Linked DNA regions of Medicago truncatula. The main gene of each other region encodes a partner of the protein of the gene in region 2 in a complex. Links are inferred from orthologs where the notes say so. Each region holds a gene or a part of one and is shown on either strand. Other genes may lie near its edges.

Evidence for each region.
Region 1: mediator of RNA polymerase II transcription subunit 14 (region 2) and mediator of RNA polymerase II transcription subunit 23 share a complex: the UniProt entries of both Arabidopsis thaliana proteins name them as parts of the mediator complex. The link is inferred for Medicago truncatula from reciprocal best matches to the Arabidopsis thaliana genes SWP and AT1G23230.
Region 3: mediator of RNA polymerase II transcription subunit 14 (region 2) and probable mediator of RNA polymerase II transcription subunit 26b share a complex: the UniProt entries of both Arabidopsis thaliana proteins name them as parts of the mediator complex. The link is inferred for Medicago truncatula from reciprocal best matches to the Arabidopsis thaliana genes SWP and AT5G05140.
Region 4: mediator of RNA polymerase II transcription subunit 14 (region 2) and mediator of RNA polymerase II transcription subunit 27 share a complex: the UniProt entries of both Arabidopsis thaliana proteins name them as parts of the mediator complex. The link is inferred for Medicago truncatula from reciprocal best matches to the Arabidopsis thaliana genes SWP and AT3G09180.

Annotation. Positions count from the first base shown.
Region 1 is NC_053042.1:11,310,121-11,318,238, forward strand, and holds the start of mediator of RNA polymerase II transcription subunit 23, read left to right. Parts: upstream 1-4,979; 5' UTR 4,980-5,106; coding exon 5,107-5,226; intron 5,227-5,299; coding exon 5,300-5,343; intron 5,344-5,466; coding exon 5,467-5,566; intron 5,567-6,313; coding exon 6,314-7,303; intron 7,304-8,095; coding exon 8,096-8,118. Other genes in the region: glucan endo-1,3-beta-glucosidase 3, read right to left, coding at 196-256. UniProt on the Arabidopsis thaliana protein: Component of the Mediator complex, a coactivator involved in the regulated transcription of nearly all RNA polymerase II-dependent genes.
Region 2 is NC_053048.1:54,600,368-54,608,942, reverse strand, and holds the start of mediator of RNA polymerase II transcription subunit 14, read left to right. Parts: upstream 1-5,029; 5' UTR 5,030-5,267; coding exon 5,268-5,483; intron 5,484-5,796; coding exon 5,797-6,873; intron 6,874-7,387; coding exon 7,388-7,485; intron 7,486-7,576; coding exon 7,577-7,751; intron 7,752-7,885; coding exon 7,886-8,575. UniProt on the Arabidopsis thaliana protein: Component of the Mediator complex, a coactivator involved in the regulated transcription of nearly all RNA polymerase II-dependent genes.
Region 3 is NC_053048.1:41,745,916-41,754,070, reverse strand, and holds the start of probable mediator of RNA polymerase II transcription subunit 26b, read left to right. Parts: upstream 1-4,591; 5' UTR 4,592-4,715; exon of another isoform or gene 4,716-4,968; intron 4,969-5,416; 5' UTR 5,417-5,458; coding exon 5,459-5,467; exon of another isoform or gene 5,468-5,568; coding exon 5,569-6,006; intron 6,007-6,220; coding exon 6,221-6,289; intron 6,290-6,392; coding exon 6,393-6,475; intron 6,476-6,841; coding exon 6,842-6,900; intron 6,901-7,013; coding exon 7,014-7,153; intron 7,154-7,263; coding exon 7,264-7,291; intron 7,292-7,406; coding exon 7,407-7,717; intron 7,718-7,797; coding exon 7,798-7,879; intron 7,880-8,012; coding exon 8,013-8,137; 3' UTR 8,138-8,155. UniProt on the Arabidopsis thaliana protein: Component of the Mediator complex, a coactivator involved in the regulated transcription of nearly all RNA polymerase II-dependent genes.
Region 4 is NC_053048.1:50,166,576-50,174,907, forward strand, and holds the start of mediator of RNA polymerase II transcription subunit 27, read left to right. Parts: upstream 1-4,953; 5' UTR 4,954-5,023; coding exon 5,024-5,300; intron 5,301-5,400; coding exon 5,401-5,566; intron 5,567-7,123; coding exon 7,124-7,571; intron 7,572-8,332. UniProt on the Arabidopsis thaliana protein: Component of the Mediator complex, a coactivator involved in the regulated transcription of nearly all RNA polymerase II-dependent genes.

The DNA.
Region 1 (8,118 bases), on a different chromosome or scaffold from region 2:
GTTGTAGCAACCAGCAAGGTTGTGCATTTACACAGTTACCCTTAACATATTCATCATTTTTTTTTTCTAAACATAAATTTATGAACTGCTAAAGTAATCAAATAATGTCATGTTTATTTAATGAAACTATGAAAACCATAGAAATGAAAAGGAGAAAAAATATGGAAAAATAATAATAAAATATTTAAGAGTTACCTCCATGAAAAGATAAAGAGATTGAAAGAAGGTAAAAAAGAAGCAGCACAGCAATAGCCATTAAAGCTTCTTGTTCCTTAGAAAAAGGCACTATGTGGAAAGAACAGTGCCTCAAACTTTATACTATAAACCCAGAAACATGAAACAAAGTAGAGAGGAGCTGATGAAAGAGTTGGAATTTTGAAGGGAGGGAAAAACAAAAGAAAGTTAGTGAGAGAGAGAGAGAGAGAGAGAGAGAGAGATAGATGGGAACTAAACAAGGGTGTAGGGACTTTTGTGAAGTGAGAGGAGAGGCTTTGGTCCTTTTTGTGTCTGGTCAAACTGAAAAGGTGTTAGCTTATGATTTATATTTTGAAGGGTCTCTCAAATATGTGTAAATATTGCACATTATAAAACAACAAAAGTGAATTTTTTTTTATTGAAAAACAATAATTATTTATTAAAGAAATACATATTTAATATTAAATGTATAAATTTTAATATAAATTTACTTTTTTGAACTTATAAATATGTACAAATTTTTATATGTTAGAAAAAACATATTTAAATATGGATTATGATTTAAGACACATGTTAACGTTTCTATAAAAAAAAAAAAAACAAATATAAAACTTTAATCTCTTGAGAAATAAATTAGCACATTTTTTGATACAAATTTTTTATCTTTACGTGTGTCCGGTTAACTTTTCTTTGAATATTTATTATTATAGATATTTATTCTTTTTTTTTTATTAACAAATTACTAATACGAAGTTTTCACTCACGTTAATGATTAATATATATGTAACCAAAAAAAATAGTGATTAATATATCTAATCTTGTTTAAGACGGTAAGACATACGATATAACTTCTCATTTTTATATTTTTTTACACACCAGAGATCAAATATATTATCATTTGATTAAAAATTTAAATTTTGTTATTTATTAAGAAACATAAAATTTATTGATAACTGTCTTTTTCTATTTGAAGAGGCTTATTTATTTTGTTTGGTCAGGTAGTCTATTGACTAGAATTCACCTTATAAAGTAAATAAGTGGGGTGTCCGGGGTTCGAACTCCAACCTCTACATATAATAATGTATTGTTTTACCAACTGAGCTATGTTCACAGGACTTTGAAGAGGCTTATTGATAACTGTCTTAGTATGACATTGTTTAAACTTTAAAGAACCAAAATAAATAATTATTGTATAAATAATAATATAATTATTACTTTAAAAAGTTTTTAATTGATATTTTCTTTTATGCATTTTTTAAACAATACAAGAGTTGGAGTATTGTTAAGAAGACTTATATTTATTTATTTATAGGATTTATGAATGAGTGTTTGTGTCAGGAATCCAATATAACGTCTGAGATAGACCAGGGCTATAATTCATTCCAGGACAATTTGTTCAGCCTTTACTCTATCAATGTTTGATTCAGTGTTTGTATGTATGTACTACTACTAGGTGCTGTAGTGCTAGTAAATAGATACCTTCGTACTTTATTATCATAATTTTCAACTAATTCAGAGAAATTATTAAACTGAAAAGTAAATTAAACTAAATAAAACATTATTGTATTATTATCATTATTTTTGTGGTGAAACATTATAGTACTATTTTTTTAGTGCTGTAAACATTACAGTATTATACAACTAAACACAAGTATATCTCAAAAACACTACAGAATAGAAAAGTAGACAGAGTTACGTGTTATTGTCGGGCTTTCTTTCCTTAATCCATGTTGTTAATTAGGTGGTGGTGTGCGTGTGCGGGAATAATTAAAGAGTTCATTTATTTCAACATAAAAATACTTATAGTATTAATCAAATCATTAGATTTAAGTGACTACAAATTGTTCGGAAGAAATTCAGTTTGATTTTTTAAAACAACTTTTGGTCAGGTTTATTTATCTCTCAACCCAATTTCAGATTTGTATGGCTTTATGACGTTATACCAATATAATGTAAGGATTTTGATGTTTAAATATCATTATTCACAATTAAAATGATGTCGTTGTAAGGATTTATCACTTATTTAAAAAAAAAAAAACAAAAAGACAATGGTGTCACACTCTATATTGAGTTGGAGAGGTATATTATGTTGGTACAATTTATGAGAGATAGCGATTGGTGTGATACGAGACATACGAAGTTGCTACTCTCTCACATGCTGGACATGCCTGTATCTTACTAGTTGCTTGCGACTTGTTTGGAGTTATTTTCATTTCTCATAAAATAATTGAGAATTTTGTTTTTGTACCACAAAAATTGAGAATTTCATTAACAATATATTTCATCAATCTCATGAATAGAGTACTCTATTTCTTCTAAGAGATAGAGAGTTTCTTAACCATAAAGAATCTTAAATCAATTTTTTTTTAATAGAAGAAATAATTTTCACTAACAATTCTTATGAGACCATTTTATAAGTTTTACTACTTTCTTTTTCCATTGTGACCTCAATATTATCAACCAAGGTGATTCAGACATCATTAAGTCAATTTATAGGGAATATTAAACGTAATAAAGATTTTTCTATGATGTTTATATTGTCGATATTAAGGAGCATTTAATGTATTTCCGTGAGCTTAGCTCAGTTGGTAGGGATATTGCATATTATATGCAGGGGCTGAGGTTCGAACCCCAGACACTCCACTTCTCCACAATTTAATTGTGTGAGCTCTAGCCACTAGGCTACTTGACCCAAAAAAAAAAGAGCACTTAATGCAATTGAAGAAAATTCTAAGAAAAGTTTAGTTCTACTTTGAATGCCACATCCTTATAGAAAGATGGTGATGACACTAAGAAAGACTCCTTCGATGATGAGAAGATTGGATTATTTATGAGCCGATACGATACAATCAATATGCCAAGAAAAATGAGTCGAAGCGTAGTGACAAAAATCTCATGAAGTTTCGGAATGCAAAAACCAAAGGAGGTGAACTTAAGAAGGAAGAAAATGTTCTTAATTGCTGCTATTGGTGCGGGGGTCCGGGCACTTAAGAAACAAATTTCTATACTGTTACAAAGTGAACTTCTTTGAAGGAAAACATGATCTGAAATTGGACAGGCCACAAAAACAAATTATAATATGTAAAGAGAAAATATATGTTGTGATAAATATTAAGCACAAAAGTTGTTTTTTAAGGAAGTATCAAACACAGAGTTGATAATCAATAAATTAAATTACATATCTTAAAATTTAAAATACTTCTCCATCCGATGTGAGTGACTTGAAACCATCAATAATAATTTCATAATTAATATCTGTAGTAATTTTTCTTTCAGTAAAAATTGTCATGTTATGTTTAGAAACTCATCTTAAATAATTCTAGATCATGTTATCTAAATTATAAAGCAATACTAAGAGTTGTATCAACTAGAAAAGACGGCAACAATATTCCGATGAAGAGAGTGAAAGATATGGAGAAAAAAAAAAGAAAGGCGTGAATGTATCAATATATATGACATAAACATGTGAGAACCCGGTTAAATCACCATCACTTTTGTTTACGGTGGTCGGTGGAGTGGAACGCACACGTGAGAAGAAAAAGGTCGGTGAGTCGCAATTAATTTGTATTAAAAATTTAGGGGTGTTTTAGTAATTTCTTCTATATAACAAACTTTTATTTTTCTTTTGGCGGTGGGTCGTGGCCCAATTACGCCCATTAAGAGCTCTGCCACTGCCAATGTGTCAACCACATGTAGAGTTTGCACTTTGGAGACAAGGAAAGTTACGGCAAAAATGAACTATTTACGGGTATGTGTTACATTAATCAACAATTAGTGTCTATGGTATTTGACAATAGAGCAATGAACTCCTTCATTTCTTTCAATTGCTTTTGACGATTCATGCTAAAATTATCATCAATGTTTTAACCCATGGTGGTAACCACAACTATTAAAGGTAGGATTGAGACTACTTTAATTTGTGAGAAATGCCCTATCACCGTTTTTGAACAGTTCATCCTAGTTGATATTATTAGACAATGTTCATAAGATTATTCGATGCCTTTTTATTAGAGGACAAAGTTTTCTTTTAATGCTTAGAGGGGTTACTTAAACTGAATAATAAATGAGTGATATACTACTATACTAGTAGTTAATGAATGAGTTTAAAGATTATTTTCTTTATAACGAAATTACTTCTTTACCACTGGAAAGGGAGAAGATTTTATATAGACTTGGTTCCAAGAGCAGAACCTATTTCCATTGCATCTTATCTGATGCCTCTATTTGAACCAAAGGAACTTAAGACACAATTGGAAGATCTCATTCATAAACACTTCATTAGACCCAATATGTCTCCTTATGGTGCACCAGTTATGTCGATCAAAAAGAGGGATGATAGGATGCAATTATGTGTCAACCTAACAAACTAACAATACAAATAAATATATGTTACGACAGATTGATGATCAGTTGAATCAATTTAGAGGAGCATCGATCTTTTAAAAGATTGATCTACGCTCAAAGTATCATCAAATAAAAATAAAAAACTCATACATACCAATACCAAAGACAACATTCAAGATCTCTTACGATCATGTGAATTCTCGATTTTCCAACCATATCTTGATAGATTCGTGGTGGTCTTCATCAATGTTATTATAATCTACATAACATAATTTAATTAGATGCATGCTTAAAAAGATCTTTTTTTTTGGTTACATTACATGCTTAAAAAGATCTGTATACGATAAAAAAAAATATACGGTGCAAATTATTACCGAAGATATAAAAAAATACGATAAAAGAAGTAGTTATTAATGGTAGTTATTTGTATTTGACTTACACATAGCCAAAATCGGATTTAACCGATGCGATACAGTGACACTTGACTTTCAACGTTCCTAGCTTCCGCTACAACACTCCAAAGCTTAAACCCAGAAACAAAAACGAAAATTGAATGAAAGCGTGAAAATGGATCAATCTCAAAATCAAAGATCAATTACAACAACAACATCACAATCGCGTTCTCTTCAATTCCACCCAGCGCGTGTTCCAATTCTCGATCTCTTCAACCTCTACTTAGGACTTGGAGTAAGAATTTTCTTTCCATTCTCTTTCTTTCCTCGATATTTTCATCTTCCTCATTTTCTTTTTGTTTCTTCAGAGAAACAGTCGTAACAAACCTGACGACTCAATCCGTGAACCACCGTAAGTTCACTCACTGCAACAATGCTCAATTCTCGTTAATCCTTTATTTTTTGCTTTGGTTTTTTAGTTTAGAGAATTTGTTTAGGGTTTTGTAATGTGTTTTTGTTGAAAATTTGATTTCAGGAACAAAACGCAGAAACGTGTGCACGCGATTAACAGAGAGCTTCCACCGCCGAATGAGCAATTCATTGTTGATTTTGAGCAGCTTCAGAGTCAGTTTCCTGTGAGTTTTTTCTCTTCAAATTACGGATTTTCGCTTTCTTGTTTAAGTGATGTGAAAGCCTGCAAAGATGGAATTGTTGATTTAGGGCATGTTTAGATTGAAATATTTGAGCTTATCTACTGTCATAATGTTTGGACCGACTTATTTGAGCTAATCTACTGACATGAGCACTTGTGAGACGGTTTGGGAGAACTGGTGAAAACAACTTATAGCTTATACGAAAACAATTTAACTAGTTTTATCTTTTGTCAAGGAGATAGCTTATGCATATGAGCTTTATTATGATAAGAGATTGTGCTATAAGCTGCAAATTATGTTGTTTATCCAAACAAGAACTACTTGGGACAGCTTATGGAAACAACTGATGACATTTATTTAATCTTTTGACATATAAATAACTTATACATAAACACTTATATGATAAACGCTTAATTAAACTCTTTATCGAAACAGGGACTTATTCTTCAAAACTGTAGTTGCTGACTAAATCATCAATATTTTGAAAATCTTCAATCATATTTAATGCATGTTTGGATGACTGGTGACACTGGAAAATCAAAGTGAGCCATCGTGATTCTGTGAGACTACAAAGTGCAGTGTTTGCCAAAATCACCACAAGTCACTGTGATTTTGCCAATCTCTCCTCTTATGCAAACCAAACATTCACTTAGTGGTCATGGACAATGTTTATGCGTTTCTGTTGTCATTGTTGTATTTATTTATGTTAATGGTGCATTTTTATATCAGGACCATGAGCAATTGCGTTCTGTGACAGAAGCTATTCTTATACCGCTGGTCGTACAGTGTAGTGGTCATGGGCCACGGTCAGATTTTCTGCTTTTTGTTTTACGGAGCTTGTGCGGTATTGGGTGCATTAACTGGGACACCTTTCTTCCGGCCCTTGTTTCTTCAGTTTCTTCAGCAGAAATACCGGTTGGTCAAACGAGTCAAGCAGTGTCAACAGTTACCTCCTCTAGCTTATCACAGTCGGGAATGCTGCCTCCGCCAAGCACAATTGCTAATTCTTCTAATTTTCAGTCATCAAATCCCGCATCTCCATTGACTTCTGTCCATACTATTGGCTCCCCTGCACAGTCATCTATTGAGCCGTTGTCTTGTGCAGCTCTATCTCCTGTAAAATCATCTGATATTTCCTCGGCTGGACAACAGTCTAAACAAAGAGGTAGCCCATCTGTTAGAAATAATGATATCAGTTACAGTAGCCTTCGCCAGCTATGTTGCAAGATTATTTTAACTGGTCTTGAGTTCAGTTTGAAACCCATGACATATGCCGAAATCTTCAACCATATGCTGAACTGGCTGGTGAATTGGGACCAGGGACAACAAGGAGTTGATGAATCTGATAATCAAAAGTCATGGAGACCTGACAATGCCTTAGTTGCATGGCTACATAGTTGCTTGGATGTGATCTGGCTTTTAGTTGACGAGGGAAAATGTCGGGTTCCCTTTTATGAATTATTACGCAGTGATTTGCAATTCATGGAGAATATACCTGATGATGAAGCATTATTTACACTTATCTTGGAGATCCACAGGAGACGAGATATGATGGCTATGCACATGCAAATGTTAGACCAGCATCTACATTGCCCTACATTTGGGACTCATCGGATCCTGAATCAGACAACACCTACTATTTCAGGTGAAGGAATAGCACATTTGCGCCTATCACCAATCTCATATTTAAGTGTGCTTGGGGAACCATTGAACGGAGAGGTAAAAAATCTCATTTCTATTTCAAGAAACTCAATATTGATGAATGAGACTGTACTTGAATGCTTGGATACTATCATATTCTTCAGCAAACTAGATATTTACAATACCCTTTTTCATCTCTTGTTAAAAATGCAAAATAACGACCGTCTTAAAATCAATACTACCTGTACTAAGATTTTTGCTATGAAAGTGAGGCAAAATGGTTAGCCAAGTAATCACTTGATCAACCAAGCCTTCACAGCACGTCAAATAAAAAGTTGACTGGAAAGTTGTTTAAAGTAGGGAATCAATTTCATAATTCTGAAAGATTTAGTTTGAGTTATTAATGATTTATTTATGCGGAACATTTGATGTAGCTGTTCAGAACTGTTTATAAAAATGATTGAGCTAGTAAATCTAGTTACCCTGTTTGCTTCGGTTTTGGGCATCAATAAGTTAAATATGATCGTCACGTTTCCACTTACATAACAATCTGTATATATGCACTGTGTTTCTGGCTTTTTCCAGATCTACCATACAGATAGAATATTAGTGGCATGGCATTTCGTCACTGTTTATTTCATTAATTTTCATTAAATATATCTATCGATATAATTGATTCTAATAGACAGTCCATTAATAAATTTTCTAATATTCATTGATTTCTCCAATTTGAATGTCAACTATTATTTAATTTTTTTTAGTTTGTCCAATATTCTGCAGTCTTATTCTATTCTGATGGAATGCATGTATTTGAGTTTGATCATAATTTGTCTCGAGTTGATAAACTAGTGTCTTGATGTTTGTTTGTAGGATATTGCAATCTCTATTCAGAA
Region 2 (8,575 bases):
ATTTGGACATTTGGAAAATAGGATTTGGAGTGCTGGATTCTTGGATTGTAAATGGTAGTAATGAGAATCAACATATGAAGCTCATTATTTGTGATGCAAAGATTAGATGAGTTGGTTAAGATTTGTTGTAATTTCATTTATGATTTATCAATGTTACTTATTAGTGTACATTTTGATTTATTTACATTTTTTGGTTTCTTTCTCGAATTTAGGGTGATCGAGTTCATGTAATAACTCGGTATAGAGAATTGGAGCATTGAATGACTTTGATCGAGGAAAACAAGACTTATACTTTGTATAATTGTCATGTGTTTGATAATGACATTGTATTTAATCTCTTTAGGGTTGTTTTTGGTTCTGATACAAAGGTGCAGAAGTATGACAAGTTAACTAACGTTCTTACTCATGAATTTCGTTTTAAGTCATTTAAGGAAATTCAAGATGGAAAATTCAAATCTGACATTTTATATGATATAGTTATGTGCTTTAATTTATTTCTTTGTTTTCTCCGATTATAATATTATTATAGATGTAATATTTTTTTTAAGAAATCATCGGGCTTCTTCATGAGATTGTCAAGACAACACCAATTGGGACTAGAAAGAAACCGTGTACGAACATTGTGTTGAAAGATAAAAGGTATTATTTTCTAATTTGTCAACATCAGATGATAGAATTTTGTATAAGTTTGATAATGACCTGAAAGATGTCTTTCCTTATGCAGTGAGAATATAGTTGATGTAACACTATGGGAAAAATACTCCGTAGCTTGATCATTTACCATCTATTTACCTTGAGTTCTTCCATTTTGTAGTCATTGGCAACCCAAATATATGTAACAATTGGTCAGGTTCGAGGCTGCTCATCAACCTACATTATCCGGTTGTTGAGAAGTTTAAGACTTAGTAAGTTTGCATTATGATTTCAAAATATAGTATTAGAGTAACTTATTATTTCACAATCTGATTTGATTGTTTTTTGACCATGTTTCTTGAATTGTTGTCGTGACCTTAACACTTCTCAAGCTCAGAGTCAAAGTATCAGTCATAACTTAAGTTAGAGTTCGGCTTCTTCTCAACGTACTTTGTACAACGATTTTTTCAATCTGCCTCAGGTTAGGCCAATTACTGAATTTATAAACTTAGTCATGGTCTGCTTTTTTTATGCACGAACATGCTTTGAGTTTTTTGATGCACAAGTTAAAAATATATATTGCATTATTCTTTATTTCATGTGCATAATTTGGATTAGGATACATACTTCATCACTATTTGGAAAACAACTAAATTCAATCCTAACCAGTTTGGATGGTATTATAAGAGTTGCACCAAATGTTCGAAGACATCAATGTCAAATGGTGCTAGCTATAGATGCACATGCGGGAGTGATGCTTAATTTCCATTTGTTTCAACAATGTTAATTGGTCAACGGGGTTCATATAATGCACATACATGTATTTATCTAGACTTTATAGGAAGATAATAGGAAGATAAATTAGAAGTCATGATACATTTTCTTTAGCTTAAATCAGTTAAGCTACCTTTATTTTATAAATTATATGTAACTATATTCGCATGCAGAGAAAGTATAAGTGTCGTCTCATTACCGCCGAAAGAGCAAGCTATGAAAAATACTTGGGTGGGCTATGGATCAATTTCTGCAGAGAACGTGTGATGATAGAAGGTGGTAAGCTCATATTTGGTCTCGAAAAGTCACCGAAGAACTTGCACGTTCGAGTTGTTCTAAAGTAGATATTTGCTGCTGAACTATTTGAACTTCTACTATTTTGACGTATCGCTTTGGACTGTAATCGTAAACTATTTTGACTTTGGGATGTCATTTGTTCTTTTCATTTTGTCTGATGTAAATATTGGCAAAAATCTCTTTTTAGTTAGTCTTTGACACTTGGAGTCTCTTTTATAAACCTAACTATTATGTAACGTTAATCTGCACATTATTGGTTCCTTCATTGGTTCAAATTAGTATCATGTTAATTATAATGTTGTTTTCCTAATCTTTTGAACAAAATAGAACATGCCCTTTTTCTACAGCAGATCTTTATAATGCTTTGGAACCAACCCATACATATTTTATGATGAATTATAATGTTCCGTCGTTTTAACATATCTTCTTTCGATTTTTTTTTTTTTTTTTATCAAAAACGTTATTGAACCCGTGCGAAGCACGGGTTTGTAACTAGTTTAATAAAAAAATTCTAATGGAATTAAAAAATTGGAAAAAAAATAAAAAAGCCAAGTCAACATGCCAAATATTCAATTTTATACAGTCAGCGTCCCATGTCAGCTTATGTGCACAGTCAGATTGGTTCAGGGGTGCAAACCAAAAAATCTTCATTTTACAAGGAAGAATCTCCAAGTTTTTTTTTATAGGGGAGTATACCAAAAGACCCCCATATAACAGGGGGGTAAAAGCCTATTAATCTTTTTATTTTTTTATTTTTATCAAAGCACAAAAGATCAATACACCGAGAGGGAGCTTGTACCCTTTATAAAACAAGATTACATAAATGTTTTTCTCGGGAAAGGCAAATGAATGCTATCTCTCCGGAGAAAAGCAGCAAGAAAAGGAGAATAATTACTCCAATATTGAGAAGAAAAAAACAAGGGCAAGCTTTGACCATTTTTGGTCAACGCATCCGCTGTCAAGTTTCTCTCCCTTGAATATGAGTACAAGATGAATTAATCATTCTAGTCATAACCATGCAATTACTCCAACGGATCCTCAAAGGCCAAAGTACAACAAAATTGGAGTTGAAAGCATTAACCAACATCAAATAGTCGGTGTTAATCCACATGTTTGCCAACTACAAAAACTCATTGATCGGTCATCTTGACACAATTATTGAGAAAACAAGTTATCACATAATCGAGATAGGTTCTAAATAAAGTTGAAAATCACAAATATGTTTAATTGAAACAAATAATGATGTCTGGATTACAAGATTATTGTTCAACAAGGAATAAACGTCATTTTGGGGATCATCCAAGTCAACAAATTTAAATGTATTGTTCAAGATGCCGATTCAAATATTCTCATCATCGAGAAGGAAACCATAAGATTTGAATTGACGAGTTTAACGACAATAAGGAAAGATTTGACATTGTTTAATAATTGTCTAGCACGCTTGGTGTTGACCTCAAATTTGTTGTGTAACAAGTAAAAAGTGGTGAATCTAATACATTGAAGAGGAGTAAACTCAAGGAAAAAGTTTCATAGTAATTTTAGAAAAATATATATAAAAAGAAGGTTTCCAAAATCGTAAAAGTAACCTTATTTAAGGAATGATATTAAAAAGGAATGTCTAAATTTGAAAATAAACATATAAATAAGAGGAGTTTGGATCCTATCTTATAAATGAAGATTGCAATTTGGTAAGAGATATAAACAAAACATAAATTGTAGGTTCTACCAACAAGTGGGTTCCATTATCATTAATTATTTACAAATTTTATTGTGTCTTTATATCTTCAAATGGAATAAATGGATGAGATCCAAAATAGAGAGATCTTAACTCAAACGAAAGGACAAAAAGACATAATCGAGCAATATATATATAACGCATTGTTGTCTTCTTTCAATCATACAAATGTCGCGTCAGTACCAATTTGTCCCCACTATATTGAACTATGAATCCCCCAAATGTTTTATTCCTCTCGACCAACCTTTGTAGTTTGATCTTTCTTTTCAAAAAATATTTTGAATAATCTAAGAAAATTAAAATATTGCTTTTAATAACTCATGAAAATCATTAATTTTTGACTATAACGGTCAAAATACATGCAAATGAAGACTTTCTTGCAAAATTAGATGACTTCTTGCAAAATTAGATGACTTCTTTCAATCATACAAATGTCGCGTTAGTACCAATTTGTCCCCACTATCTTGAACTATGAATCCCCCGAATGTTTTATTCCTCTTGATGTAGTTTGATTTTTCTTTTCAAAAAATATTTTGAATAGTCTAAAAAAATTATAATATTGCTTTTAATAATAACTCATGAAAATCATTAATTTTGATTATAATAGTCAAAATACTTGCAAAACTAGGTGACTTCTTCTTCTAGTTGGTTGTTTGCTTGATAATGTCATTAGAAAAACAAGTCAAAAAGTTGGATTTGGTTCTTAATAAAGACGAAGATCATAAGGAGTTAATATGTTGAATTGAAAGAAACAATATTACTTAGATTCCACGATTCACGTTTAGCATTGAAAAAACACTGACTCAGGTAATTAAATTCATTGTTCTGGATGCTAATTATCACATACTTACCATCGAAAAGGAAACCTTATTATCGAATCGATGAGTTGGACAACAACAATGTTTGACAAAGGCTGTCAAGGGTTTGATGACAACCTTAAAGCCAAACTTAACAAATTAAAAATGACAAATCTTAGAGAAACAAATATTATTAAACTCATATAGTAAAAATCTTCACCAATAAAAAAATAATACAAAAACTGCAATAAACTATAAAATTAACCTTATCTCTTCTAGTAATATCCCTCTAACACGTGATCACGTGGAAGCCACCGTTGTAATCAAAGAACTAAAAAGATAAGTAAACTCGTATAGAAAAATGAAATTAAAAACTTATAAAAACGTTAATATTTACCTTATTTATCTTACTTACAACATTTGTATAAAATGTGATCACCATATAACCAATAATTAATTATTCTTTAACGCCATTGCAAGGCCGAAATTGCAAGGCCGGACGTCATGACCCGGGTTCGAACCCGGGATCTCACAGTTGTGTGTGAGTTTATTTTCAGTGGATTACCACTTCATCTAAGACCAAAAAAAAAATAAAATTATTCTTTAACGCATTTTAAAAAAATAAAATAAAATTCTTTAACACATGTTCCATAAAAAAGTTGCACCAAATAACATTAGCTATCAACATCAAAATCTAAAATCTAAAACACATTGAGAAGAAAAAAAAAAAGGTGTAAGAAAATCCAAGTATTTGTTCAAATAAAGTAATATATAAAAGGAGAGAGAAACATGAGAGAGCACCGTGAGACACAAGCCCAGAGATAGAGTGAGAAAGCGAGAGAGAGAGAGAGAGAAGAGAGAGAGTGCGGAATCACGAAAGAGCGCGTTCTTCTTCTTCTTCTTCGTCTTTCCTTTGCTCCTAATTGACAACGGTTCAAAAATTAACCGTTGTCTTTTTGACCTAAAACCCTAATTTGATTTCGATGCATTAACAGATCAAGAAGAACCCTAGAATTGAACAATCGAAATCAATGGCTACGGCGGAGTTAGGGCAACAGACGGTGGAGTTATCCACCCTCGTTACTCGTGCCGCTCAAGATTCATACAATTCGCTTAAAGAGCTTGTTGATAAATGCAGGTCCACCGAATTATCCGATTCCGATAAGAAGATTAGCATGCTCAAATTTCTTACCAAGACTCAGCAACGTATGATCCGTCTCAATGTCCTCTCCAAATGGTGCCAACAGGTCAATTTTTTCATCTCATTTCTATTTTTAATCCCAATGTTATTGAATTTCATCTTTGTTATTGTTTATTGTGTTACTAATTGTTATGTAATGTGTGTGTGTTATGTTATGAATTTATGTATGATATGATGATTGTGTTGGTGGGCTCTTACGAGTCCTGATCTTCTTTTAATAATATTTGTTATTAAAAATTAAAAATAAAATTGTGTTGGTCATGTATGATATGATTATGATAATGATAACATTTAGTGTTAGAGTAAGAGAAAGAGAGTTTGTATATGCGATGATTTGCTAATAATTTGTGGCTTTTCAGGTTCCTTTGATACAGCACTGTCAGCAACTGTCTTCAACTGTTTCGAATCACGACATGTGTTTTACTCAGGCTGCGGATTCGTTGTTTTTCATGCACGAGGGGCTTCAGCAAGCTCGGGCTCCGGTTTATGATGTTCCATCCGCCATTGAAATTCTTCTCACGGGGAGTTACGAGCGTTTGCCAAAGTGTATTGAAGATGTTGGTTCTCAGTATGCTTTGACCGAAGATAAGCAAAAGCCTGCTTTGAAGAAGCTGGACATGCTTGTTCGGTCCAAATTGCTTGAAGTTTCTCTTCCCAAAGAAATTTCTGATATAAAAGTTTCCGATGGCACTGCAATGGTTAGGGTGAATGGAGAGTTTCAGGTTTTATTGACACTTGGGTACCGAGGACACATGTCCTTGTGGAGAATATTGCATTTGGAGCTGCTTGTCGGTGAAAAAAATAAAACTGTGAAACTGGAAGAACTACGGCGACATGTGCTTGGAGATGATCTAGAGAGACGAATGGCAGCGGCCGAAAACCCATTTTCAATATTGTACACAGTTCTTCACGAGCTGTGTGTTGCACTTGTCATGGACACAGTAATAAGGCAAGTGCAATTCCTTCGACAGGGAAGATGGAAAGATGCAATTCGGTTTGAGCTCATATCTGATGGTGGCTCTGGTCATGGGGCAAGTTCAAGTTCTGTGCAGAATCCTGACGGGGAATCTGATTCGTCTGGTCTACGAACTCCGGGGTTAAAAATTATTTACTGGTTAGATTTTGACAAAAATGCTGGTGTGTCTGATTCAGGTGCTTGTCCATTTATAAAAATTGAACCTGGACCAGACCTTCAGATAAAGTGCACCCACAGTATCTTTGTCATAGATCCGTTAGCTGGCAAGGAGGCAGAGTTTTTCTTAGACCAGAATTGTATTGATGTAGAGAGGCTGCTATTAAGAGCTATTTGTTGCAATAGATATACTCGGCTATTAGAAATTAAAACAGAACTGATAAAAAATGTTCAGGTCTTTAGAACAGCAGATGACGTTGTGCTCCAGTCTCATATGGGTGAACCTGATATTGAATATAAGCAGGTTAGATTTATTGAAGAAATTTTAAAGTGGTAATTTGCATTGGGCTTTCTGTTAAACGACTCTTTTGAGGGGTTTTTAATGTCCTTGTTTGTTGTCACAGTTTTAGAGGTTTTACTTCACATTCTTTTCGTTTCATAGAACTCTACTAGAGTTCTAATTCTGAAAGTTCTGATCATTGTTATTTTCTTTCTTGTTTAGCATTATAGCATACTAGCGTTGCAATTACTTTGCTTCATAATTGCTCATGCAGGAAATGTTTGTAGTTTTGTAAACTGTGAATCTGGTATCTTGTATCTGCATTACCAGCCAATGGTTTGGGGTTTACTTTGTTGATATGCACGTGTTTTTCAGTGCAATACTGTTAACCACTTGACCAATAATCTATGCCATGCTAACTGCTGTTGCAATTTTATGTTTTCATTTATGGCACCTTATGGATTTTCTGTGGGTAATCTTATGCATACCTTTATTTAATCTTGATGGGTTTTAAAATTAAGATATGTTCTGTCTGTAGAAGGATAATAAGAGATGCGATAAGGATTCTGAGGGGAACGAGGTACTGCACGTGCGTGCTTATGGCTCTTCTTTTTTTACTCTTGGAATTAGTATCAGGTACCTTATTTCACTCACTTGTTTTTTTTTCCCTAATCTCTTGCATTTTAATCTAGGCATTTTCAAACCAATTTCCCTGTTTTTTATTCAGGAATGGCCGATTCCTTCTTCAATCATCACAAAATATAGTTGTTTCTTCTGCCTTGTTAGAATGTGAAGAAGCTTTAAATCAGGGATCTATTACTGCAGCTGAAGTCTTCCTAAGCTTGAGAAGCAAAAGTATGTTGCACTTATTTGCATCTATTGGAAGGGTTTTGGGCCTTGAGGTACATTTTCTTGTTACTCTCTCCATTTGTGTTTCAAAGAAAAATCTCTAAATCAGTTTGGACTGTCTTTTAGCTTACTTTTATTCAGATCACCAGCTTCCCTAAGATTTATGGATTATGGGCCACCCTTGCAGGTTTATGAGCATGGATTGAACACAGTCAAAACACCCAAAACCTTGTCGAATGGTTCAACTGTGCTGATGATGGGATTTCCAGACTGTGGAAGCTCTTACTTCCTGCTTATGCAACTTGATAAAAATTTTAAACCCTTGTTTAAGTTGTTAGAGACTGAACCAGATCCATCTGGAAAAGACAAAATATTTGGTGACCTTAATCAGGTGCTGCGGTTCAAGAAAATTGATATAGCACAGATGCAGGTGCTTGAAGATGAAATGAATTTAAGCCTGGTGGACTGGGCAAAGTTGCATTCCATTTTGCCCAATGCTGCCTGTCCAAATCAAATGTCTGGGCATGGGCTCTATTCTGATACCCGCCTTCAGAATTCCATGCACACTGCTAGAGGCCATCATCCGTCAGGTTTTTCATCACTGGTTGACGATGTTTTTGGACTTGAGAAAGGGTCTTCTGCGCCACCATTCCCTGTTCAAAATATTTCTTCACCGTTGAATTCATCACTTCCTTCTCATTATGGTTCTCTCCCAATAAACAGTCAGAGTTTAAAGGCTGGAAATATCCACTATAATAGTTCCCTGTTCTCATCAGGCAATGTGAAGGGTCCAGTTCAATCCAGTTCTGTTGGCTCAGTTCCTACTGGACATGGAAGGAGCGCTGTTGGGAAAAAGCTATCTGCCTCAAAGTCTGAA
Region 3 (8,155 bases), about 13 Mb from region 2:
ATTTTACACTTTTAATTTGGTGAAAATTTTTGCTCACCATATTCTGAGACAATATATTTACATTTTTCTATTTGAAGATTTTTTTTTTTAATATATTTACACTTTTTAATTTGAAGAATTTTTTTTTCTCAATATATTTACACTTTTTTATTTGAAATAATTTTTTTTAAGGATTATTTGAAATAATTTTTTTGTTCAATATATTTTGAGACAGTATATTTCCACTTTTTTGTTCAAAATTTTGAGACAGTATATCTACACTTGTTGGTTTGAAATAATTTTTTTGTTCAATATATTTTCGGACCAAATCTGAATATATGAAAAAAAGAATAAATCAATGAAAATTTCTTTCTTTATAAAAAAAATTGTTTTAAATTTTACGACTTTAATTTGAAGAAAAAATTTCGTTCAATATATTTACACGTCTGATTTAAAATAAAAGATTGTTTTTTTTATATATTTTGTGAAGCAATCTGAATATATGTAGCAAAAATAAATCAATCACAATTTCGTTCAATTTTACATTTTTAATGTGCACAATAATGTATTTTCAATATATTTTTACGCGTAGGGCTGATATGTAAGACGTTTTGAAAATAATTAATTATCTAATTACCAACTTGATTCCTCATGCTTTTCGAAGGCTCTTATCGATATTGTTTCGAAGGCTCTTAAAATGTCACATATGAGAGATTCTGGCGAGGAAAATCTTAGCATTTAAGAGGTCCAAGTGACCCACCTCTCTTTTATGGAAATCTCTTTCGTGTACCATTTACTTTGCGAAATGAACTAACTGTTTTATAATTAATCACTTCGTCTTGTCCCAATACTCGTGTTTTTAGTATTCTAATTATATCCGTAAACAACTTTTTCTTTAAAAATGTTGTAGTGTAAGATTTCATATTTTAAAAGTTACAAACATTTATAAAAAAGATCATTCCTTATTTATTTATTATATTGATATTCTGCCATTTTTATAATATTGTTATTTTTAAAATAATGATTGCATGTATTTTCTATTATAATTAATAACATGCCATTTTTATAATATTTAATTAATTATGAGAGCAATTTTTTAATTTAATTATAATGATGTCTTGTTTGTTATCATGTGCGCATCAAACACATGATAAGATTAATGTTTATCATGTCATTATCATATTTTATCTCCATCTAACTTTATATCATATCTTACCTGTATCATATCCTGAACATCAAACAGACCTTAATAATGTTCTTAAATCTTCTAAGCATTTTCCGGAGTGTATAAAAAAAATGTACAAAGTTTTTTTACTTCTTCACAATTATAGTGCATAAATATAGCCTCCATACCGTAAAGAAAAAAATGTATGGACCAAATTATTTGGACTTCAGTGGCAAGAAGCTTCTTCGATTGACGTATCCGAGAAATATCGAATTCAATTCCTAAGAAAAATAACACTTGATCAGTGCACATGCCTCTATGCACGAGCCAGATTAGTCGCCACCTTTAATAGATCAAAAATCAGTGCGAAAGAAAAAATAAATGTACAAAGTTTGTATCACAAAATCATGTGTGACGGTGCAGTGAACTTGATGTGTCGCCGCCACCACCATACCATAGTCTCTCACTTCCAAATAACAACACGTCAACTTCTTGACCACCACCTACCCATTTCCATTTTTATGTGTCCATCACCCACAGCTTTTTCTTTTGATGATACTCACTCTTCCATAGTTTTTTAGCTCAAAACCTTCATTAATTGAATAGTAATATGTACGTATATTTTGAGGTAGTTAATTGGTGATTTACTCAAAAAATAAAAATTGAACATGTTAAATTTAACCAATTATTTACTTTCATTTTTATTAAAATTTGTCCATGTAATATGTACGTATATTTTGAGGTAGTTAGTTATCTAGTTATGCAAGTTGAATAGTTAGTAACTCGTGAAGGTAGCTTGATAAGAGAACTAAAGAACATTGAATAAGTTTTAAAAAGAAGGTCTCAAATTTGATCCCAAAAATTAATATAATCATTAACTTAGTGATGGAATTTTAATGATACTTTTTAATTCAGAGTATTATTTCTGTTATAGTTTATTACGAATGAAGTTCCCGATTAAAAGATTTTTTTTATTTATACATTTTTTTTAAGCGGTGTCAAATAATTAAATAAAACAATTTTTATGTGAGGAAGGAAGATTTTTTAGATATGTTTAAACGTTTCAGGTTTGAGCCTTATTAGTATCTTTAAAGAGAGATAAATATAAATATATTTGTAGTTGTTCTTTTGGTCAAAAGATCTTCTTTTACCTTAAACCGAGCGTCTTCCTCTCGCTCTAAATCTTTTTCTTTAATAAAAAGGAAGTTTATTTGTTGTTTATAAAATTTGTGGTCATATCATCTTTTGTTTGTTATAATAATATTAACTATTTTAGTCTTTGACTATAATTATGTGCACAATTAAAATAATATTAAAAATAAACCATTATTCAATTTCAAATTAATTGTGTTATTTTACCAAAAAAATATTTTTGGTCTTGAATAAAATTATGTATTAGCAAAAATTACCTGAAATTTTAACTTGGTCCCTTAAGTCATAAAATAAAACTCCTATTATTGAATTGATACTTTATGAATCATCAACTTAATTTCGGATAATAGTTAGATCCATTATTTATTTTTGTTTTAATTTTGTCTTTTCGATCTTTTTTTTATGAATTTTTAAGTTTCAAATTTATGATTTTATCTTCTTCTGACTTTTTGATTTATAAATTTATGATTTTTCATACAATAAAAAATATAAACAGACAAACACATACTTAAAAAATGGTAATACTCGTCATTCCATTAGTTATATGGAAGAAATGATAAAATGAGTGAATGAGTAAAAAAGGTAAAATTATATTTAAAACTTGGTTATCAATCAAAGTAATTTTTTAATTTATACCGAATAAACTTAAAAAAAAATAAAACTATGCATAAGAAAAGATAGAGTAAAATCTTTTGCTAATAATTATATCTAAACAGAAAGATTTGGATATGTTCGAAGAATATGAGATTAAAATAAAGAAAACTCACAAAAACTTGGTTGTATTTAAGCACCGAGTCTAGGGCCCCACATAACTCGTTCCTTCAGAACCGCTTTCTCGGCCCTATCTATCTATATCGCACCACATTCACTACCTACTTTCTTATAATATTTTTTTATTTGAGAGATTATTGTTTTTTATGAATATTCCGTGTATATCTTTTTTACTCAAGAATTCAATCAAATTCAATTAGTTATCTTTAGAGACATTTTAAGAAAGTAAATAATCAAATCAACTAATATATTTTGTTAGAGATATTTTTAGGGAGTAACTTAAAAATATGTTATTATTGTTTGATTTAGTTGAATTCTTGTATACAAAGTCTTAAATTAAATCATTTTTATTCCGGAAAAAAAATTAAGTCATTTTTATTAGATTTAACTTATGCGAATATTCCGTCAAAAGGAAAAATTACACATAAATTCAATCAAATTACTCGTTATTAGATTTAACTTACAAGAACATTTCATCAAAAGGAAAACTTACACATAAATTCAATCAAATTACTCGTTATTAGATTTAACAAACACGAACATTCCGTCTAAAGAAAAACTTAAACATAAATTTAATCAAATTACTTGATTATGCCTTCATATGTGGAAATACCTTTTTCGTATTGTCGTCCGTAAATGATTTGATTCATTAATAAAGTGTATGTTTATCGATTATGTTGTTTTTTATAACCGATTATGCTATTTTTTAAACTAGTTCGTAAAATATCTCCACAAATATCTATTAGACGTGAGTTTTATAATCTTATCTTTAATTTTATCATTTGTATGGTAAATTTTTATTTATATGGAAACACCATATTAATTATAAGATTATATGGAAACAATCCGTTGAATATAAAATTGAACCATTCTTGTCAAAATAATAATGATAAAACTTGAAAAAAAAAACCTGTTGAATAGAAAATAGAATATAAAACTAGTCAAATTAAAAAAATACAAAATAATAACGAGAAAAATTATATATAAGTAATGAATCGACAAACATTATGCTCTTTTTATTGTGTTAAAATTTATAAGATTATAAATAAGTGTTTCATATAAGAGTTTGATTTTGATTAAAAATATAGGTGCTCTTTTTATTGTGTTAGAATTTATATATTATAAACGAGTGTTTTATGTAAGAGTTTGATTTTGCTTACAAATATAAGTGCTCTTTTTATTGTGTTAAAATTTATAGATTATAAAGAAGTGTTTTATATAAGAGTTTGATTTTGATTAAAAATATAAGTATAAATATTTGTTTTGAAGAAATTATATAGATATAAATATTTGTGACTCTTAAATTACAACAAACATAACAAAATATGTTTATCTTTTTCGATTACGGAGTATATCAACAATATCATAAATATAATATAAATTGTTTTTTGATAAGAAATATAATATAATTTTTTTTTTTTTAGGGAGGTATATTCTTATATTTTTTATGGGCCCAAAATATAGGTAAATTTCTTTAAGAAAAATCAGTCCAAAAAATACCCTAGATATATTATATGAAATAAAAAAATAGTAGCACAAAGAGACAGAACTTAGCACTTCTCTTTCTCCACATCTTCTGTTGCTCTTTTTCTAATCTTTCTCTCCAAACCAAATTTTGTTTCGATCAAAGTCAAAACACAACCAAAAGGTATCATCACAATTCATAAAACCCTTTTTTCTCTCTCTAAAAGTACTTCTTCTTGTTGGAAGAGAAACAAAAGTACCAAGTTTTTCATACGCACGCGGTATTGGACTATTCATATACCATACCATCATAGTGCAACATTACGTATACATTAAAAAAAGCTGTTACAATCTACATAGGTAGATAGATATTATTATGATTATGTTTTTGTTTTTGTTACACTGAATCTGCAGTTTCTTCTTGTTAGATTTTTCAGGTGTCTTATTTTTTCCTTAAATTTCGCTTCTTTTTTTTTTTTTTAGATGTTTTTTTGTACCTTAAAAAACAAAACAAAAAGGTTATTTCTTCTTTTTGAGGTTTTTGGTTTTTATTCACACCAGAAAAATGTGAAACAATACAATATTTTTTACATAACACACAACGTAGTAATTTGTTATCATATATGCGTGTTATGTTGTTTTCTTGTTTCTGGTTTATGTTGTTTCTTGTTACCGAATCTGTTCCAAAACCATATCATCATCATATCCAATTTTCTTACCGAACATTGATCCAATCAAATTTTCCTAAATGGGATACCCAAGAATATCAAATTTAAATTAAAGTTAATAAATTTACAAACTTCCAAGAATTTGATTCTTGATTATCATTCTTTCAGACTAAAATATTCACCCTTTTGATCATTCTTTCGTCATTGTTTTATTCAGGGTTCAAGATCAATACCTGAAGAAGAATCAAACCGATTTTCAATGACCCAAGTGAGAAAAAATTGAGTTTTGAATCGTGGGTGATTGTTTATTATAACATATTTGGATCTAGCTGTTGAAAGATTGAATTTTTTGTTGTTTTGGGATTGAAGATGAAGTCAGAGTCACTTGATCAGTGGAGGAGTTACTTTCGTTCATCGAATTCGGATATTTTCGATATAATTGACCATGCAATTGTTGTTGCTGCTTCTGATTGTCCAAAGGAGTTTAAGTCTAGGAGAGATGGAATTGCTGAGAGATTGTTTTCTGTTATGCTGAATCGTTGTAAGGGGTGTGAGAAGGTTGAATTGTCTGTGCCTGATGATGATAATGGTGATGAACTTTGCAAGAGAAGTTCTGTTAGAGAGGGTGCTAGCAAAGAGAGCAAGGTGGATTGCAGTAGGGAAGAAAATGGAGTGATGGATGCTAACCCTATTAGCAATTACAGCTTTGGAGAAGCTGAAGCTTTAACTGATGAACTTGAAGAGCAATCACAACTTGTTGCTGAGGTTACGAGGATTAAAGAGATTCTCAATAACCATGAAGATGAGGTATAGTCTTTTCTTTTTCTTTGTTGTTTGCATACTGATGCATTAGTTCTTGATTCTTTGAATTATAATTTTCATGAATGTGTGATGTGATTCTTGGAAAGGATACGTCTTGATATGGTGTTTTTTGGATGGCATTTTTGTTCGTGTTTGAAGGTTGAATTCATTTGTGTCTTATGATCACTGATTAGTGATTGCTTGTTTCATGTTGCTACAGTCTGACTCGGTGCTGTTTGAGTCTCTGAGGAGGCTTCAACTGATGCAACTCTGTGTCGATCTTCTGAAGGTTAGAATTGATCTTTCTTAGTAGCTTTGGGGGAACTTTGTGTTGTTTCTCTAGTACTTTTTTTAAGATTGTTCTCTTAACAATCAGAAATTAAATTGTGCAGTCAACTGAAATTGGAAAGGCTGTGAATCATCTGAGAAAGCATGGATCGAAGGATATCCGTCAACTAGCACGGACTCTCATAGAGTATGGTTTAGTTTTTTCATGGATTTCAGTTTCTCGTCTGCGGATTGTGGTTTATTTTATAATCATGGCCGCTGTGTTGTTCAATATGCAATTCACTATCATTATCCTTAACTAATCAGACTGTTGCACCGATTCCATAATCATGGTCACAAGTTATAAGCCTTAGTTAATTTGAACCATGTTCTTAGTTAGTCATGTGTCCTTGATGTTAACATTGATGACATGCTTTAGATAGGTGAATGACTTGGCCATTATTGTTTTGATTCATATCATTGTAATAGTTGAGATGCCAAATCTGTTAATGTTTTCAATTGGATACCGAACAAACTCAAATTCTAAACTTGTTTAATGTTTTTTAATTTCTAGTGGATGGAAAGAACTGGTCAATGCATGGGTGAAGGCGACGACAACCACACCTGTCGCAGGTAGAATTTTTTATCGACCTTATTAGTGTGGTATTGATGAGTACAACTATGCTGGTTTCTTATTCGATTTCAAAATTAATTCATGTCGGAAAAATGCTATTGAATGTTTGTAGCTTCAGAAGAAGGCACACCGGACTCCAGAAATCCATCTGTTGTTGAAAATGAAGAAGAGGAAGAAGGAGGACTTCCTTCACCTCCTTTGGACGAAGGGGCTTTCTTTGTTGCCCCAACCGGTACGATTGAACTCTCACAGGTATATATACTTGTCCTTTTTCCCTTCTCAAACTTACATTTCAAAGGCTTGTATATATGAAACTGAATTTTGGTTTTTCCTTGTGTTGTATATATCTGGACGATGTAAAGTTCTTTGATGGCATGGATGACGATGGAAGTGAGTTGAATTTGCATTTCATATGTTTAGTCTACCTAGCTTTCGTTGTTACGGTTCTGTGTCTAAATTCCCCTCGTCTTAAATTGATGATTGTAAATGGGGAATGTTTTTTCAGATATTCGAAAGAGTGCACCATTCAACAAGAACCGTGACAACGGAAGAAAGCCAGCTCTTGGCACTCAAACTAAGGACAAGAGGAATTTTCCGGCATCTAATGAAACGGCCGTCACTGCCAAGGACAACAAGAGTCAGCACATGAAGAAAAACGAGGCTGCAGCTAGGCCTAATAAACCAATGGCTGCTGATACTGGCCGTGCAAGACCGTTAAACTCGAACATTCAGCGAAAAGCCAATGTGGAGCCAAAGATGCCGCCGAAAATTGAAAACAGTACTGTCCCTAAGAGGCCTCTCAATGCTCAGCAAGATGTAAGCAAAATAAAATAACTCGTATGTGCATTAATTTTGTAAGTTTGTGGTTCTCTCTAACCTTAATTTTTATGTTTCAGAAGTCCAAGTGTTCAGATGATTTGGCTAAGCTTGAAGCCACTAAGCGGAGACTTCAAGAGAGTTACCAACAAGCTGAAAATGGTTAGTCATTGATTCGTTTTACAAAATCATCATTGTCTATTACTAAGTTATTATAACACATGATGTATTCTTTATGACACATGCCTCAATTCATAACTCATTGATGAAATTTTCATTCAATTCTTAATTGCAGCCAAGAGGCAAAGGACAATACAAGTAATGGAAATAAATGATCTTCCAAAGCAAGGATCTGTCCAACGGAATACACATTTCAAACCCGGAAATCACAATCGGCAATGGGGTAACGGTCGAAGATAGAGCGGCTATTTTCAGGAG
Region 4 (8,332 bases), about 4.4 Mb from region 2:
TTAAGGAGAAGTTAGGCCAAACACAATATCAATAAAGTACCTTCGAAAAAGAGTACTTTTTTTAGAATGCATAAAATTGAATGGAATGAGCTTTAACCAAAAGTTGTTGAATGCTACTTCAAAAAACTATTTCTTCCCAATTTATTTCACAAGCACCTCTCTTCAACTCCCGTCGGCAACCTTTTGTTTTATTTTTTCAATACGCTTTTTTCATCCATTTTATTTTTTTTAACCGGTCCATTTAATTTTTTAATGAGGTTCCATTTAAGTTTATTATCTATTTTTTTAAGGAATTTTATTATCTTTTTATCACTTATATATTAATTTCGATATCTTTTGATCATCACAACCACGCAAATATTTGTATTCACGCTGTCAATGAATGACACCGAATATTTTTATTCCCTTTCTTCAACCACGGAAATACACACACACATTAGTGTTTAGAGTAATACTTTATGTTCCTCTTTCTGTTTTTTTTTTTTTTTGTTATGCTAATGCGTATAATTTTTGTTAGTGTTGTGTAATGCGTATAATTATTTTTATAAAATTTTGATTTTAATTAAAAGTACAAGTGTAGTTGCCTAAAAAAATTATACTTATATATAATTTACACATTTGTATTGTAACAAACTATGCATATCTTTTTCTTATTAAAAAAACTAAACATATCTTTTTCAATGACACCAGCAATGTAACAAATATAATATTATATATATAAATTCTTATCTTTTTTACCAACACTAAAAATATGGTATTCTTATAACAAAATTTGTTATAGAGTATAATTGGAAAAGAAAAAACCAATTATTCTCATTATATATACACACATATACATATTATAGATATGATTGAGCGTGACGAAGAAAGCAATATAAATGAAGAAATCAGTTCATATAATCCAGGAAGAGTGCAAGATGGAGGCTACATGAATAGAGTTAGAAATCAAATAGGAGTTGCGTTGATGGAGAGTAGAAATATTTGAGTTTGTGATGATTTATGTCTTTAAAAAAATGATTATTGTTTTTAATTTTCCAAACTACTATGATATTATTTATGTTATTATTTGAGCCTCCTTAAATTATTTATCCTATTCAAATATTTAACAAGTCGTTTATATGATGATACAAATTTGTATTCATGTTACACAAAATAAACGTCATTGAGTAAATATAGTATTGGTAAAAATATATATTTTATATTTTAAATATTTTTTCCCTTCAAAAAATATTTTAGACATTTTTTTATTAATTATGTTAATTCATAATGAATTCAAAGTTTTTTTATTTATAGACAATGCATAAATATATGCAAGGTCCCGGGTTCGAACCCCAAACACCACCAAAAAATAATAATTCAAAGTTTTGTACAATATTTTGCCAAATAGCTTTTAACTCAAAAATAACTTTAGAACTAAAAAAAAAATAAAGAAACCAAACAGCTTTAACCTTTTTCTTAAAGAGCTTTATTTTAACTTTGTTTTAAAGTAGCTTTTAGACCGAAAAAAAGTCTGGCCAAACGGTACCTAAAAGTGGGTAGTTACTTATAAATGTGGGTAGTTTTTTTCATTAAAAAATAAATTAAATTAAATTGATGAGGATAAAATTGGAAGAAAATATAAAAAGCTATGAGCTCCAAGCTCAAAAGCTACTTGAAATAGCTTCTCATAAAAAGTTATAAACTCATGAGAAAAGCTCGTTAACAAACACATCATATGGCTGTGTTTGGTAACACAAAAAAGCTAGCTTATAGCTTGTTGGATTAGCTTATAAGCTCGTTAGATGAAAATGTGGCGTGTTTGATAACAAGCTTTTTTCATGAGCTTATAGTGTTTTCTGAAAAGCTATTTCAAGTAGTTTTTTGGCCTCATTTGGATTGGCTTATTTTGAGCTTATGTGGGCTTATCTATTCCCATAAGCCTTTTTAAAGGTGTTTGGGTAAATAAATAAAAATAGCTTATCATAGTTTCATAAGCTGTTTATGGCAAATTTCAATAAGCCTAAATTTTCAGCTTACCCTCCGGCTTAACAAAGAACTTATGAATTTATGTAACCTCCTTCGATTCTCTCCGGATCCACTTTTCAAAACATATATTTTAATTATAATATTAGTTATCTTTGGCGGTGCATAGTAACAAAATTCCTATATACTTATCTTACTAAAGTAACACATGTAACTAAGATTTTTTTTTTTTTAAGGAATATTTTTATTATTTTTTTGTTACATAACAAAATGAAAACTGAATAAAAAAAACAAACTTAACTTGATATTTTTTTAAGGACGAATATTGATTATACTATATATATATAATTATAATTAATATATTATAATATTGTTTTTTACATCTTGATTAATTTTATCAAAAAAAGTCTTGATAATTGTGGTTCGATTCTCTGATATTTTTGTTAAATTAAAAATATTTAAAATTTCAATAATTGCTTATGTAATGTCACATCCAAACACTTCAATTTATGTAAATACTTTTTAGTGTACATATCGAAACATAAATAGCTTATCAAGTATAAGAGCTTATGATGTAAACTCTAATGCTATAAGCATCTATATAAGTTGTTTATCCAAACGGGGCCTTTAACTTATAGCTGGTAGCTTTTTATATTTTCTTCCAACTTTAACCCTATTAATTAAAATTAATTATTTTTTTAATTAAACAACTACCTATGTTCATCTTTATAACCGCCCCATTTTTCCCTTAAAAAAATACCACGTTTTTTTTAGGAGCACTTTATATATATATATTTTTTTTAAGGAAATGCTTTATATTTTGCTATAACTAACCTGCTCTACACCACACAAAAAATAACTAGCCTATTTTTTTTTAAAGGAAAAAATAACTAGTCTATTGTACGTTTTAAAATTTTATATATTCTAGCTCACATTTTGTTTCCACCTTTCTCTTATTTTTGGGATTCATAAAGCAGAGATCAAAATTGTCGGTGAATTTTTTTTAGGATTAAAGGTCGAAGAATAATTTTATGGAGACTAAGACCAAAAGTTTGAATATTTATAGGGACCAAAAACATATTTAACTATAATTAAAAATATTAAAAATAAATACATTACAAAAAAATGTGTGTGTCTATATGTATATTAAAAAAAATAAATATGTCATTTTATACTTATCAGTCACTTCAACAACTAATTTTACCAAACACATTATTTTTAATAAGCAAGCTTTTTAGCTATAAGTTATCAGCTATCAACTAGCTTTTCAGCTATCAACTAGTTTATCAGCTATTAGCTAGCTTATAACTTATTTTTACCAAACAGAGCCATAAGCTAAAAAGCTACTGGAAATAGATTCTAAAAAAAAGCTATAAACTCGTGAGAAAAGCTTCTTACCAAACACATCACGTTTTCATCCAACGAGCTTATAAACTAATCTAACAGAGATATAAGCTAACTTTTTTGTGTTACCAAACACAACCTTAGTATCTGAGCAAAAAAGGAGTTTACGTGGAATGAATCGTACATCGAAGGATGTTGGAAGTCCCTTCTTTTATAGACCAAAATGCAAAGATCCAACGAGTGATGCAAAAGGTGTTACATATTCTACAAAACATAATATCATGTCTCTCGAGGTCTCTCTTTGACGGAGAAGGAAAATGTATTTAGTGTTTGGGTTTTGTTGGACATGTTTATGAGCTTTAGCCGGTATTGGACTTATGTTTGAACCATGAGTTGTCGAACACAACCCTAGGGTGCGTTTGATTTGCTAAAAAATGAAGGACAAGACAGAACAACTCTAGTTGTCCAGTGTTTGATTTGTAAAACTGTTTCAGGTACAGGACAAACTGGAGGCAAGGGACAGGACAAAAACTCATATTTTTGTCCCTTACCAAACCACAACACAACTTTTTGTCCCACGTACAAGTTGTCTAAAACATCAAAATAGCATTTTGTCCCTCAAAAATCGTATAAAACAAAAAATTACTCAATGCCATAAAAAATTTGTCCTGTACTGTTCTGTCTTGTGTTGTACTGTTCTATCTTGTACTGCTCTATCTAGTACTTGCTGTTTTGCAAACCAAACACAATATTGAGAGAGCTTCTCATGTATCTAATTTTCTAATTTGTTGTAAACGCATATGTCAAATTTCCATATAACTTTTCTTTTTCATTGTTACATCCCATTTAAAAAAGAAATGCATAACATATGCAAGGTCTGGGGTTTAAACTTCGATCACCACAAAAAATAAAATAAAAATATTCAAACTGGATGTTTTATTTTCTATAGTTTTCGGCTTGAAAAATTAAGTCCTCTCAAAATAATGTATTTATTTTTTTCGTTAACTTTTTGATTTTCAAAGGGACGAGACTTGTAAGGTAAATAAAATTCGATCAAAAAGTGTTATGCAAAATGTAAACTCATATTCTCTAAAACGAGTGTAATTTTGTAACAAAAAAAAAAACGAGTGTAATTTTTTTTTAAATAACCTAATGACTGGAGCTCAGACATTTTAAATGTGGAGAAATGAGATGTTCGGGGTTTGAACCCTGATCGGCATATACTATGTATTGTTCATACCAGAGCTAATCTTATGGAGATAAAACAAACATAATTTAACTTAACACATTATACATATGTGTCAAATGAGTTGTGTTATTTGAACAACCATTTAGGTGACAACTTTGATGACAACCATAAATTTACAAAGAAAAAGAGGTATTGATACAAAACCAAAGCAATAGAGAGAGAAAGTAAAAATATAATACGAGTATGAGATAGAAAGTTGTCACAAAAATTGTTAAAAAATGGTTGTTCAAATATCATTTCTCGTGTCAAATATACTAATATCTATTTTTAGAGTTGTTTTTTTTAGGTGTTAACCGTACAAATTTATTTATGTCATAGTGAGTGAGTTTAAGCAGTGGTTACAGTTTGTATTATTTGATGGGCCTTTACCGTTAAACGAAGGCCCAATCCGAGTTGTACGAAAAAATACTAACCGAGGAGGATCCCACTATCTTTTTGCTACCATCCCCAGCACCAAAAACAGTGCAAATGCAACAAACTCAGCAAGCCACGGCGGCAACTTTCTCAACCCCCACTCCTCCTCCCTCCTCCACCGCCGAAGCACCTCCGAAGCAGGTTGCTCTAGCTATGGACAAACTCGGTCAAGCCGAACGTATCATCGCCGACATCCGAATTGGCGCTGATCGTCTCCTCGAAGCTCTATTCATCGCCGCCGGTCAACCTCATCAAGGCAATAAGCCTCTTCAAGTTTTCGTCAAAGAGAATGCTTCTATGCAACAGCATTTTAAAGACCTTCGATCCCTCGGTATGCGTTTTCAGTTTCGTTGCGTTTTGATTGATTTTGATTTCGCGATTAGGGTTTTGGTATCGTCGGTGTTGTTTGATTGATTTTTTCGATTTGATAGGAAAGGAGCTTGAAGAAGCTGGAGTTCTTAGTGAAACTGCACGGTCACGGAAGGATTTTTGGGGATTGCATATGCCGCTGGTTTGTCCAGATGGTGCCGTTGTTGCCTATGCTTGGAAACGACAACTCGCCGGTCAAGCTGGAGCTTCTGCCGTTGACAGGACTAGGTTTGTTTCCGCTCTTTTGGTTCCTTGTCAACATACCTAGCAGACACCGAACACGACTCAAACTCTTAAACGGTTGTAGTAATTTAAGAAAATAACATAATTGAATGTAATCACATGTGTCGGTACTACAAAGCAACTTACAATTTTCCCTTTTGTAGTTGGTTCATTTTGATGAATGTTATGGATAGGAATCAAATCCAAAGAAAAAAGAACCAATGGAATTAATCATTTTTAGTTAGAAAATATTCTTTTTCCTTTACGAAGATATGCGCATACTTAAGAGTTAAGAGGATATTTTAGTTCTTCGAATCGTAGTATTACCTCCGGAATTCATAACAAGCAGTAGTTATACATGATATGAGCTTTAGCCAAGTTATGCTGCCAGATAACTGCCTCATACGTGCCTGAGTTGTGTGGAAATACAATTAGTACAGGTATGCTAGGTTAGTGTTGTAGATTGTTAGATGCAAGGGCCAAGGTTATATGATAAGAACATGAATAACAATGCCACTTGGGGTGATGCGAGCTCACACATCATATTCAAGCTCTAGTCGGTCCAGTCACATGAATGTGTGCTGATCTTTTCAAGGAAGCACTTACCGGATTGATTATACATTTTTTTTTTTAAAATGAAAGAAATTGGCAAAATTACACAATTTGTCTCTTTAACTTCAAGTAATACTTTCGTCCTTTTATCTTTTTTTTTTTTTTTCCGACTTAATCCTTTATGTTATAAAATGTCATCATCATTATTTCTTTTTTTATTAAAAAAACTCACCAAACTCATAAACAAACCCATTTTATCTTCATCATACAATTCTAGAAATCCAAATTTAATTGAAAAAATCCCTTAAACCCATGAGTCCATTTTCTACATAACCTTAATCATTTATTCCCAACTCATCAACAAAATCAGCCATAACCAAAAGAAAAAAACAACCATAACCAAATTCCAACTCCGTACCCAAACAAAAGAAACAAAGAAAATCGAAGAAGAAAGGGTGAAAAAAGATGAAGATCCTTTTATGTTGTTGGAGTGCTAGGTTGATTGACGAGAGAGAAAATGAAGAAGATGAAGTTTTGATGAAATTTTGCATTTTTTGACGAAGTTGTGAGTTTTGTGATGATTTTTATGGATTTTTGATGAATTTTATGTATTTTGTTTTTAATCTAAAAAGGATAATGGTGTTTACATTTTATAACATAAAGGATTTAATAAAAAAAAAGATAATATAGGACGAAAGTATTAGCTGAAATTAAGTTAAGGGACAAATTGTGTAATTTTGCCAAAGAAATTCTATTAAGGAGCACGAATGGCCAACAAATAAGCCTATGCATGGTTGAAGTTTTGGAAAGAGAAAGCGAGAAAGGGTCTCATATTTTATTGGAATTAAGTAATATTAAATTAGGTTCTTATTTCAGATTTGATTCAGGTGGTTAAGTTTAGTCAGTAGATAATAAATACTCTTGGGATTTGTCGGATTTATCATACTGACTTCTCAATGCTGCTGACCCATGTTACATTAGCTGCTCACTTAGGCTTTTGAATGATTTCAGGTTAGCTCTCAAAGCTTTTACTGATCAGAAAAGACGTTTTTTCCCCCATCTTGATGATGGAGTTGAAGCTAATGAATCAGATTCAAAGAAACGTTGTGGGTCTGAAGAAGTCACATTTGAACCTAAGGAAGTAATGAGTTTTCTAAGGACGCTGCCAGATGTTCTGCAGTCCTTGGAAAAGGAAGTGCCAAATGTGAAAATTTCAACTTTTGAAAGGCTGGACTGGTTAAAATGTGCTTCCACACTCACCTCTTCACCAAATGAGAGTTCTGAGGAACATAACTATCGTGGTTCTAGTAAGCGAAAGTTAGGATCAATGGGAATGGTTGCTCCAGAGAAGGTTGCAGTCATAGAATTGCTGTGCCCTTCTATCTTCAGAGTTGTTATATCCTTGCATCCTGCTGGTTCCATTGATCCCGATGCTGTCGCTTTCTTTTCTCCAGATGAGGTATGTTTATATTTACCATGGTTTGTCTTTCCTAATATTCATTACGGGGTGTGAACTATTTGTTCTGGATATCGTATTATAAATAATGACTCGGCGTTAGTTTTGGGATGCTTATGTATCAGGTAACTGACAATCTCAGAAAATTAAGAAATTGAAAATGTGATTGTATTTACTCATCCAAGTCTAACTGTTTCCCAACCTCCACTCTGCATAACTGCCATGCATGCCTTGTAGCTTTCTCTCTCAATGACCATCTTGGCAGAAAGTTGCAACTCTTATCCCCTCTGAAATTTTTTGATCTAGTGCTTCACATCTCTTCTTTCTCCTCCCATAGACTTTAGTTATTTTGAATCATGGCGCCAGGCCTGTAACATCGTGGTTAAAAATATTTTCACTTTCCTCTCTTTTGAAGCCCTAGTTGATTGAAGTGTCGATTGGCTTTTTCTAAATGAAGCTTGTATGAATCCCATATCTAATTCAGCTGCCATACAACTTAAATTTCATCTTGCACTGTTAATTTTCACTGTTCTTTGGTTCTCTACTAATGGCTGTTTGAAGGGAGTTGACATTTCTGATTTACAGAGACTAGACAGAGTGGTTCCATATTTTTTGTTTCATTCTTTCATTTTGTTTTGTCCTTGTTTTGCAGGATATCTTTTTCCCTTGTTTTTTATGACTTATTTTATTTCTAATATAACTTATTTTTAATAATAGAAAGACTTAATTTGTTCATTTCTTATTTCATTGTAAATTTACTTGAA